Linked DNA regions of Macaca fascicularis. The protein of the gene in region 2 interacts with the protein of the main gene of each other region in a pairwise test. Links are inferred from orthologs where the notes say so. Each region holds a gene or a part of one and is shown on either strand. Other genes may lie near its edges. The genes, in order: DPYSL3, DISC1 and PPP4R1.

Region 1 (3,663 bases), on a different chromosome or scaffold from region 2:
AGTGAGGCAAATTAGGGGTGGTAAAAAGCAAATTCTAGAATATTATATAGAAACCAGGAAAGGGCTTACGTGAGTCAAAGGGTTTTTGTGACTCTCAATGAAGTAAGACGACTTCTCTTTCAGTGTGTGTGTGTTGTGTTGTGTGTGTAAGCCAATTCAGGACTTTATGTGAGAGTGTGGGTTTGCAAGGCAGATTCTAGAACTGGGTGTAATTGTGAGGGTCATCCTAAAGATCAGGATGAGGCAAGTCCGGGGTTCTGGGTAGGATTGTGAGTTTGTAGTAAATTTGAGTTTGTATGTGTTATTGTAAATCAGGACTTGGCTTTGAGATGAATCCACCTGGGTCAGCTGGGTTTTTGTGCATGAGGGACGTCAGAAAGCTTTGTATTTGTGAGGCAAACTAGGGAGTTAGTGTGGGTGAAGCAGTCAAGTGCTTGAGTGTGAACATTTCTAAGACGTCTGAATTGCATGAAAGTGTGTGAAGCAAGGCTGTTGCGCGAGCGGGCAGTGTGCGCCTGTGTGTGCGTGTGCGCGCGCGCCAAGTTTGGTTTGTGATTGTGATGGGCACCGACGCTGCGTCAGCCCGGGAGGCCACGTTAGGGTTGGGGGTGCGTGAGGAGGTGCGGCCGGGCGAGAGGTCCAGCGAGCGAGCCAAGCGCGCCGCTACTCCGGGCCCCTGCGCCGCGCGCTAGCTGGCTGTGTGGCTCTCTGGCTCGCTAGGGACAGGCAGGAATCGGAGCAGCACTGCCGCCTCTGGCGCGAAGGCTCAGGCGCCTCCTCCCGCCCCAGTCACTGTGGCTCGGCGCACGCTGCCGGCAGCTGCCCTTTCCGCCTCTGGGGAAGAAAAACCCGCGGGCCGTTTTCGCGCTTGAACCATGGCCTCGGGCCGGAGAGGCTGGGACAGCTCCCATGAAGACGATCTGCCCGTGTACCTGGCCAGGCCGGGCACCACGGACCAGGTCCCGCGGCAGAAATACGGCGGCATGTTCTGCAACGTGGAGGGCGCCTTCGAGAGCAAGACGCTGGATTTCGATGCCCTCAGCGTGGGGCAGCGGGGCGCGAAGACTCCTCGGAGCGGCCAGGGCAGCGACCGAGGCTCAGGGAGCCGGCCCGGGACCGAGGGGGACACCCCGCGCAGGGGCCAAGGCCGGGAAGAGAGCAGGGAGCCCGCGCCCGCGTCCCCCGCGCCCTCCGGGGTGGAGATTCGGAGCGCCACCGGCAAAGAGGTGTTGCAGAACCTCGGCCCCAAGGACAAGGTAAGGGGGCCCCCGTCACTTCCCTGCTTGCCTTCGTTCCTTTCTCCAGCCCTGGCCGCCATGGCCCGGGCACAACTTTCTCCAGCTCACTTTGCACGGGGTTGGGGGACCAGGAGGAGGAAAGGGGCATCCTCCACTGAGCTCTGCGCGACTTCCTAGCCCAGACCCTGGATTCGCGCGTGTCGCCACTTGCAGCATCTTCGTGCAAGCGCGGAAAGAATGCCCAGGTTCCCCTGCCTGGAGCCGCGTCCTTTACCCCTGCCTCCTCGCCGCACTCCTGGGCCATCCGTTCTGGGTGGGTGTGTCAGCCCGGGAAGGCTTAGTGATTTCCAGCTCTTCTCTCTGTATGAGTAGCCAACAGCACAATTGTCTTGCCCCTCTCTGGCCCTAGATTAAATCTCAACCCAGGTCACCAGGGCAGAGGGCAAAGTGATGCTGGGAATATGGGGGTCATCTCCATAGTGCCCGGATGAAAGTACAGGAGGGGCGGTCTCCCCTCTGAGTCTTCAAACATCAGCTGTCCCTGAAACTTTTGGGTGTGGAGCCTCTAGACTAAACACGCGAATCTCTCTCTATGCCTCGCTTCTGTCTTAGCACGCATTTCACATCTGTGTTTGTCAAGAGTGTATTTGTGTACACAGCTTGGCACAAGACCGGGTATCAAGGGGTCCAGCTGCCTCTGCAAGAATAGCATTATATTTTAGAAAATAGACGAGAGTATTAAGAGTGCACATTAAACTAGCATGAGATGCAAATTCCCTGCTGCTCTTAAATGTGCCAAAGCCAATTTCTTCTGTATGTGTATTTTTGAGAAACTTATGTCACACTGAACTGACTGAAGGGATGGCATTGAAATCTAGCTTGCCCTGATTTATGTGTCTATTTCATAGAGAATCAGAGATGTAGTTCAGAAATTGCAGGGCCTGGCAGGGCTGGAGCCTTCAGAGTTCAAACTGAAGCTTTCAGCTGGGGAATAATAGTAATCAGATGCCCTCACCCTTGTCTAGGTAATGGCCGCAAAATCCATCCGCATGTATTATTCTGCACTAATATGGTTAGGAATAATAACCTGAAATGGAAATGTCTGCCTCAGAGCAATTACAGTTAATGCTTATCTAGGTTTTAGTTGTTTTTCCATTAAAATGCAATAAGCTAGTGAAAGAACAGCATCTCTCTCCACTGTTTGATTTTTGAAAGTTTAGACAAACCAACCAACCAGCCTTTAACTGCTAAGACCACCAGGGAAAATAAGTGCTGAAGTTAGTGCTGTTCGAGGATACCACTTGGAAAACAATGTCGGTTTCCTCTGGAATCATTCATTTAGTTTGTGATTTTCACATCATCCTTTTAGTGTGTGTTTCCCCTAAGCCTTTGCTTAGGGGAACAACGCTTTAGGGAAAACTTCTGATATTTTGCAAATGTTTTGGTTGGTACCTAAACTGAAGAAGAGCCCTATAGAAAGGTTATTCCTTTCTTCATGTCTGAGTTGATCCGTATTGAAATGTTCCCTTCCTGACTGGAAGGGGCGGGAGTAGTGATGGAAAAGGTCGGTAACAATTGGTGTGAGTCAGTGCTATTCCCTTTGCTGAAACACCCCTGATGTAAGCCAGATAATATGCTGGGTTTGCAAGATTTAAGAATGGTAACTAGAGAAAGGGAAAATATTCCTCCTTTAAACCTAGCAATTCTCCCATTTTCCTCCCTTTTGCAAACCCTATACTTTTGGCTACTAATTGAGAAATAATAATACAACCTAGGCATCGGCAGCATTTCTAGTGCTACATAGTTATTTGTAAGTTTGGGTTTGCCATCTGCTTCATCCAGGCCATGTTATTATCTCTAATTTGGTTGAATCACACTGTTAGAAGAGACCACAGAGGTTATCAAGTTCTGAACTTGTTGTTTATTCCCTTGAGGGTAGAGATTGTGTATTTGAATTTATCTGTGTGGCTACAATGCTTGGCACATTGGAGGTGCTCAATAAATGTTTGATACACTAAACTTCCTTAATTAAACCATCTGTTTTGCCACATAGCTGGCAAAATGATCATCTGGCCTCTGCTTAAATACAACCATTGTCAGGGAGCTCACTACCTCATGAAGCAACTTTTTGGACAACTTCACTTAAAAAAAAAATTAAGCCCAAATCTGCCTACCTGTAGTTTCTACAAATTATTCTTAGTTCTGACCTCTGGAAATGTAAAGGTAAATATGTTTCCTTATTCTGAGACATTTTAATGATTTTTAGGTATGTGCACTCTTGTATCTGTCAGAAAAGGCTGGGTGATGCCACAGTAACAACCCCCAACTCTCAGCAGCTTAATAAAAAACATAACAGCATATTTCTTGCTCCTATTTGTCCAGTGTGAGTCAACAGGAAAGCTCCATTCATTATTGTGCCTAACTT
Region 2 (3,649 bases):
TTTAGTTTAATTAACTGGAGAAGAGAAACACCGCAGGAAGGTAGACCCTCTTGCTAAACCCAGGTGAAAGATAACAAGGATCTGAGTCAGGGCAGCGGCCATGGTGGTGAGAGACAGATGAGCAGTAGGACTGAGAGGGCTTGGAGGCCGGCCAGATGTGGAACGAGGGAGAGGGAGGTGTGGAAGATGGTTGTGGTTTCTGGCCTAAGAAACTGGATAGATTCTATGCATTCGAATCAACCAATATTGGAGGCCCTTCAGAATGGGTTTGGGGGAAAGACAAGGGCATTGGTTTAGGCAATGACTAACTGGAAGACTCCACACATCACCCAGAATACCAGCCTGCATCTCTGCTCTGGCCTCAATCCCTCTCTGCATAATAAATCAGAGGGCTGGGCTGAGGTCCCTGAGGGCTGAAAAAGGGCAAACAGGGACAGGGCTAGGAACACCAGACTGCAGATAAAGAACGGAAGGTAGATGCTCTTTCGGGGAATGAGCATGAGCTTCTGCAGATTCTCCTCCCAAATGCCTGATGAGTGGGTGCTCCACTTCCCTACTCACATGAACACATCCCCACACACATGCGAGTGCACACACACCCACAAATACATACTCACACACGCATGCATACACACACATGCACACACAGCACAAACATGCACACACACATACACACACACAGCACAAACATGCACACACATACACACACGCACACACATGCATACCTATATGCACACACGCACACACACACACCTATATGCACACACAAACACGAGTGCACACACACCCACAAATACATACACTCACACACGCATGCACAAACATGCACACACAGCACAAACATGCAGACACACATACACACACGCACACACATGCACACGTATATGCGCACACACACAAACACATGAGCACACCCACAAATACACTCACACACGCATGCACAAACACACGCACATGCACACACATACACATGCACATGCAAACACATACAAGCACACACATGCACACCTCTATGTGCACACACACACACACAAACACACATATGTACACCCACCAGGATTAAAACACAGTCTGGCAATAGATCAGCCACAGAGCATCTCTACCTGGGCTTCTCTGGGAATTTTTGTGGGTAGAGGAACCCTGCCTACTTCTGGCTATACCCACCTCTCAGATAACTGGATAGACAGCAACATCATAAGGCTGGGCCTTAGATGTCTCCAGTTTGTCCTTATTTCCAAAGCAGCTACATTCTCATTTGAGCCTTAGAACAATCCTATGAGTTGGTGTTATCTCTAAATACGGAAACTGAGAGCCGGAGAGGTTCAATGACCAGAAGCGAAGTCTCCTGATCCTATGGAAGGCAGCAGTCACTGCAGCAGGATGGAAGGGAATGAGTGAAGTGGATGAAGAGCAGGATCGCCCTGATACAGGGCATCCCCATTTTTGTATCTCTCAACCCCTTCTAAACATCATCCAGCTCAATCTCCCCTGCCCCCAGTTTCCTGTCTCAAAGCAGAGCTGAGCTGAGTTAACCACGTCTCACCTAGGCCAGGGCCTGTGGAGGAGCCTGCGGCCCAATGGAGAGCAAATCTGAGCACCTACGTGACAGAGAAGACAAAAGGGAGGGTAGATCTGTGTCCAATTCAAAGAGACAGAAGTGTAGCAACATCCTTGTTCAGCCAGCTCCAAAAGGAGCTGCTGCAGCTTTTAGGAGGATAGCAGTTGAGCCCAGAACCCCTCACTTTCTGCCATCTGCCCAGTGCTAATCTGAGCTCACGACAATCTCGGGCTGCAGAGGTGGAGGAGACACTGACCTCCACCTGCCTCCGGTTTCTCAGCAGGCAGTCCCGCAGCACTGGCTCCCATTTCCTGAGCAGGGTGTCCCAAGAGTGGGCATCCTCCGATCCGCTGCTCCCATCACCACCACAGCCAGCCAGTGAGGGATCCAGAGAACTGGAGGAACCAGAGTCCATGTCCGGTAAAGAATGCATCTCACACTCTGGCCTGGAGCTGTTCCCGGCGGCCTGGGCCAAGTCCTCTGAGACCTGTGTAGCCAAGAGACTGAAGGGCCGAGAGAGACATCGAGGGTCCTTATGAGGCCCGTCCAAGCTGGCAGCTTTGGCTCCCATCTCCTGGGGGCTCTGGCAAGGGGACTCGGCCTCTCTGGATGGTGGGCAGCCTTCTGCTTCTCCACGTTCCCCGGCAGAGCCAAGCGAGAGCCGAATAAAGCTAAAGCTTGAGGCAAAGGCACTGTGAGAGCCAGGAGGGGTTGGGGGGTCCTCAAGGCCACAGCCAGGGTTGCAGCTATTGCTACTCAACTCTGCTGATGGCACAGAGCCTGCTGCCTGGACACACCTTGCTCCATCACTGCAGGCTGCCTCCCAGCTGGTGTCCAAGGTCTCAGAACTGTCCATGGCTGCAAACTCTTGCTGCCACCCAGCATTCCCAGGGCCACACAGCCTGCTAAGCCTGTCAGGCAATCTGGTGCCACCTCTGAGCTGAATCCCAAAGTGTGCCGAGGTTCCTCTCACAGAGGTCACAGCAGGGGCTGCTGCGCTCTTGGAAACAGGGCTCCCAACCAAGAGGCCTCCCAGGTCAAGGCCACACTCTCTGGTCTTGGACTCCAAGTGGTGGGACTCCTCGCCAGGCACCCCTCCTGGGACCCGGAACAGTGTGCCCACTGCTGGGGAAAGGAACCCGATCCCAGGCCCTGTCGAGCTTCTCATGTAGCCCGGCCTCCGTGCCAGCCGCCGCCTCCGAAAGCACGCTGCAGGTGGTAAGCAATCCCGGCCGCCTGGGAAGGAAAGAGAAAACAGCACTATAAACGTGCAGTTCTTACTGGCCCAGCTGGAACTGCATCTGGAGCACATCCCTAGGTTTAAAGGTCATCTCTCGGTACACCTGTCAAAGATACATGCTGGCTCAATGGTCCTGGGGCCAATCCGTTATGAAAATCCCAACAATCCTCAGGAAGTGTTTGCCTGGAACATGTAGAAATCAACACAGCATCTCAGCTCCTGGGTTTAGCAGAGCAACTGGCACTGCTGTATGCTATGCCCACAGGTCAGCATGAACACAACTTTGGTGGCTCCTGAACCCTCCAACATCTTGCCTGTTGGTCTTTTATGGCACATCAGTACTCTCATCCTGGAGTGGGCCTGGAAAGCAAATGACGTGAAAGTGGGATGCCAGAGCATGCCCCTAAATGAGATCCAACCATTTACTCTAGCTATTCATTGAACAACATGTGAATGTTCACTAGCGGGGCTATCCATGTCCCTGCAAGACTGATCTGTTGCTGCAGACCCATGGATAGCTGGCTGTGCTGCAATGTATGGCCATCATCTCATCTCACTCAGTGAATGACAGGAGGCCTGCTTGATGTGTTCTCCAAACCAGCACTGCATTCCCCTTCCAGCTAGGCTATAGGAATAGGAACAATAACAAATGCTGATTCCTCATTGCCTGGTTCAAACCCTGACTGTACCACTTGCTGGTTGTGTGACCTTCCACAAAGTTACTTAACCGCTCTGTGCCTCAGTTTCCCCATCAGTAAAGTGGTGATATTAACAGCTCTCTCATAAGGTGGTTGTGAGCTTTCAACTAAATGAGTTACTATTTGTAGACAGCTTAGAACAATGTCTGGCAC
Region 3 (3,649 bases), on a different chromosome or scaffold from region 2:
AAAATCGGCGAGACAAATGAAAACAGGTTCTCATTTAAATAATCTGCAATACTGGATTACGGAGCACCTGTCTCAAACACATGCAAAGAGGAGCGACTAAGCGGACCTCTCCTGTCCAGTTACCTCCAGTCTCTGCATCTGGAAACGCACTTACATGCTATTCAAGTTCCGTAGAGTGTAAGGAAAACAAAAGCCGTAGAGCTCTGCATCCATGGGAACTGAGAGAGCAAAGCACTTCCTAGTATGTTCAACTGGAACATGGCCCACACTGATCCATGGTTACAGTGTGGAACGTGCTGAGAAGCTTCCATCTACAATCAAGTTTCTCAGTAAGAAGTTCCCGCAGGGGCAGGTAGTCTGCTGTGTACCTGTCGGGGCTCTGAGGAGCCTTCCTGGAAGGGACTCGCTAGGGATAACAGAGGGAGGGTGTCCTCCAGCGACCTTCCCATCACATCTGAGGGGCCCTGAGACTTTCATGACATCCACCAAGCTAACCTGAAGGCTTCAATGATGCCCTTGAAGAAATACCTTGGATGTGAGACTTTTGCCTTTCAGATTTTATGTTCGAGATGATTTACATTTCTAATAAGCAGGAAGTCAACTGTAACATGAACGTAGATTATGCAGTCATGACAATGCACCTGTGCATACAAACATACAACCTCAAACAGACACACGTACTTTTTGACAAAGTTCAAAATCAGAATTCCAAATAGGACATCAGTTTCTGCTTAGAATACAGAAAACTGCAAGAATGTCACTGACCCTACAGTAGAAAAAGCTATATAAACTTCAAGATCTTTTCTTGAGCCCATCAGAGAGCTGGGGTTGCAAAGCACCCAAACAGCCTAACTTTCCCCCTCAGCAGAGCCCAGAGGGACAGGGCACCTGCCAGCACATAACAGGGTGGGGAGAAATCAGCTCGAATTGTAGCCAGCTGCCCAGGGCCAGATGGTGGCTGGCACGAGCATGGAGTGGCTCAAGCAAAGCCATATGTGCCCGACACAGGGAGCTCACATCCCCAGGCAACCTTCTGACCTTCTGACTTCCACAGGGTGCCTGCCTCCCATGGGTGCTTCAAGAAAGACAGTCAGGAGAAACAGGAGCGATGTCTCATAGCAGGCAGAAGCGGCTGACGGACAGCCACGAATCACCAAGCACTCTACTGGGCCCTTCACTCACACAAAGCAAAAGGCTTAACCTGCTGGTGGAGGGGCCCAAAGCCTGTCTACCCTGTGGGCCAGCAAAAACGCTGCAACTGGGGGAGAGGAGAACTAACGCTCCTTATTCTAGGAGGAGCTGCAGGAAGTCCTGCCCGAGACCAAGCACAGACAGGAGGCCCCACCCATTACACAGGGGTGCAGGTATAGCTCAAGCCTGGGTGGAATACTCGCACTACAAGACCACTGGTGCCCCAGCTCCCACCCTCAGCAAACGGCAACGGTAGTGGCAGCCCACAGTGAGGAAAACTGAAGCCCCAAATACACTGAAGGTAACCACAGCAATGACAAAACGCAAGCCCAGCTTGATCCTGACTAGCTGGACTCACATCCCGGCACTACATGGCGGAAGAGGAGGCGTGCATTTCGAGTCAGAAGTGGGAAAGCCAGAACTCAATGGAGAGGCATTTTTAATACACTGAAAGACAAACTGTCAGCCCCACATCCCATACTCAGCAAAGACGTCATCTGAAAATACACGTGAGGTGTATGATCCGGAATATATAAATAGCTCTTACAACTCAACAACACAACTTAAGATAAACAACCCAATTTAAAAATGTGCAAGAGACTTGGATAGACATTTCTCCACAAAATATACACAAATGGTTAACAGGCTTATGAAAAAGTGTTCAACATCATTAGTCATTAGGGAAATGTGAATCATACCACAACGAGGTGCTGTTCCACACCCATCAGAACAGCTATCAATGATAAGCGAGTGATGGATATGCTAATTGCCCTTATCTAACCACTATCCAATATGTATTGCAACATCATTACATACCTTATAAATATGCACAATTATTATTTGGCCAATTTAGAAATATTTTTAAAATTTAATAGGAAAATAGGTGTTAGTGAGGACATACAGAAATTGGAACTCCCATACGTTGCTGATGGGAATGTAAAATGGTACAGCTGTTGTAGAAAAGTGTGGCAGTTCCTCAATGAATTAAACACAGAATTACCATATGGCCTTGCAAATCCACCTCAAAATAACTGAAAACAGATTTCAAGGATTAAATCTTGTACATAAACGTTCCTAGCAGCACTATTCACAAAAGACCACACACCCAACCCAAATGTTCCTCAACAGATGAATGCACTAAATGAATGTGGTATATCCATACAATGGAATATTTACTCAACCACAAAAAGGGAGGCAAGTTCAGCTAGAGGATACAATATGGAGGGACAACTGAAAGCATTGTTAGATGAAGAAACCAAGCACAAAAGGCCACATGTGGTATGATTCCACTTGCATGACATGTCCACAATAGGCAAATCCATAGATAGTAAGTAGATGCTTATTGGACATGCATTTTTCTTTTCAGGAGGTTAACATTTTAGAACTAGAGGGAATGGTTCCACAACATTGTGAATGTACTAAATGTCATCAATAGCAAATTTGGCTATGTGTATTTCACCATGATAAAAATAATATAAAAATGAACTAAAGACATTTTCAGGAAAAAAAAAAAAAAAGTTGAGGAAATTCACTGACAGTAAGACATGTATTACAGGAAGCGTTAAAGGGCTAGAACACCACATAGAAACTTGGATCTACACAAAGTAATGAAACTGAGAGAAGGTAAAAATGAAGTAAATATATACCCCTCCAAAATATAATCTAATAAACTGTTAGAACTTACTCAGCCAGTTCAGCTCGAAACCGCCAATTTCTACTATTATCTGTCACCAAAAACTCCTGAAGTTGATAAAGATACTCTCTTCTTTTGTCAATATGAAGAAGCTAAAGTAACAAAATAAAAATATTTACCAGGACAAGGTACAGACATTATTTCTTTTATTAGAGTGTGTAAAAACAGACTGTAAGCAATATGGTTAATTCTTCTGAAAAGGAAATGTAGTAGTTGTATTTAAATGTTTTAAATTTGGTATTAAGTTTATTTTTCCTTGAATAACACCATTTGCCTTCAGGAATCACCATCTTGTCTGGCAATCTTTATTCCTTGTGTCTATCAATGAGCCACACTAAACCCCACAGTACGCCGGGCACAGCTTGATTACAGGACTTGCCCCCCTTTATTCATATGACATCCTTGTTGCCATGGCCCCACTTAAGGCAGTAATTATGCTCTTAACCACGTGTGTAAGCCCTGCATGTGGCACTGTGACAGCACAGAGCAGGCATTCAGTATTTGTTGAGAGAAAAAAAATAAAGAAATGTATCCCAATAGCTGCTCTATAAATATTTAAAGGGGGAAAAACCAACCTAACTGTACATCAGATGGAAACCAATCACAGGGAAAAAAGCCAAAGTGTGAACTGAGTGACCACACATCTTCAAGAGACAGTCTAAGGACAGAATGTGCTACGAAGTCCTGAATATTATGTAGCTGATTTGATGTGGGAATTATTATTGGTGGAGTAACTCTGAAACTATTTCATTTATGTTGTGGAAC

The links.
Region 1: the proteins of DISC1 (region 2) and DPYSL3 interact in a two-hybrid assay, tested with the Homo sapiens proteins (2 studies listed by BioGRID and IntAct). The link is inferred for Macaca fascicularis from reciprocal best matches to the Homo sapiens genes DISC1 and DPYSL3.
Region 3: the proteins of DISC1 (region 2) and PPP4R1 interact in a two-hybrid assay, tested with the Homo sapiens proteins (2 studies listed by BioGRID and IntAct). The link is inferred for Macaca fascicularis from reciprocal best matches to the Homo sapiens genes DISC1 and PPP4R1.

Annotation. Positions count from the first base shown.
Region 1 is NC_088380.1:154,298,628-154,302,290, reverse strand, and holds the start of DPYSL3 (dihydropyrimidinase-related protein 3), read left to right. Parts: upstream 1-787; 5' UTR 788-875; coding exon 876-1,256; intron 1,257-3,663.
Region 2 is NC_088375.1:17,386,395-17,390,043, forward strand, and holds part of DISC1 (disrupted in schizophrenia 1 protein), read right to left. Parts: intron 2,795-3,649; coding exon 1,815-2,794; intron 1-1,814. UniProt on the Homo sapiens protein: Involved in the regulation of multiple aspects of embryonic and adult neurogenesis. Required for neural progenitor proliferation in the ventrical/subventrical zone during embryonic brain development and in the adult dentate gyrus of the hippocampus.
Region 3 is NC_088392.1:77,896,865-77,900,513, forward strand, and holds part of PPP4R1 (serine/threonine-protein phosphatase 4 regulatory subunit 1), read right to left. Parts: intron 2,977-3,649; coding exon 2,876-2,976; intron 1-2,875. UniProt on the Homo sapiens protein: Regulatory subunit of serine/threonine-protein phosphatase 4. May play a role in regulation of cell division in renal glomeruli. The PPP4C-PPP4R1 PP4 complex may play a role in dephosphorylation and regulation of HDAC3.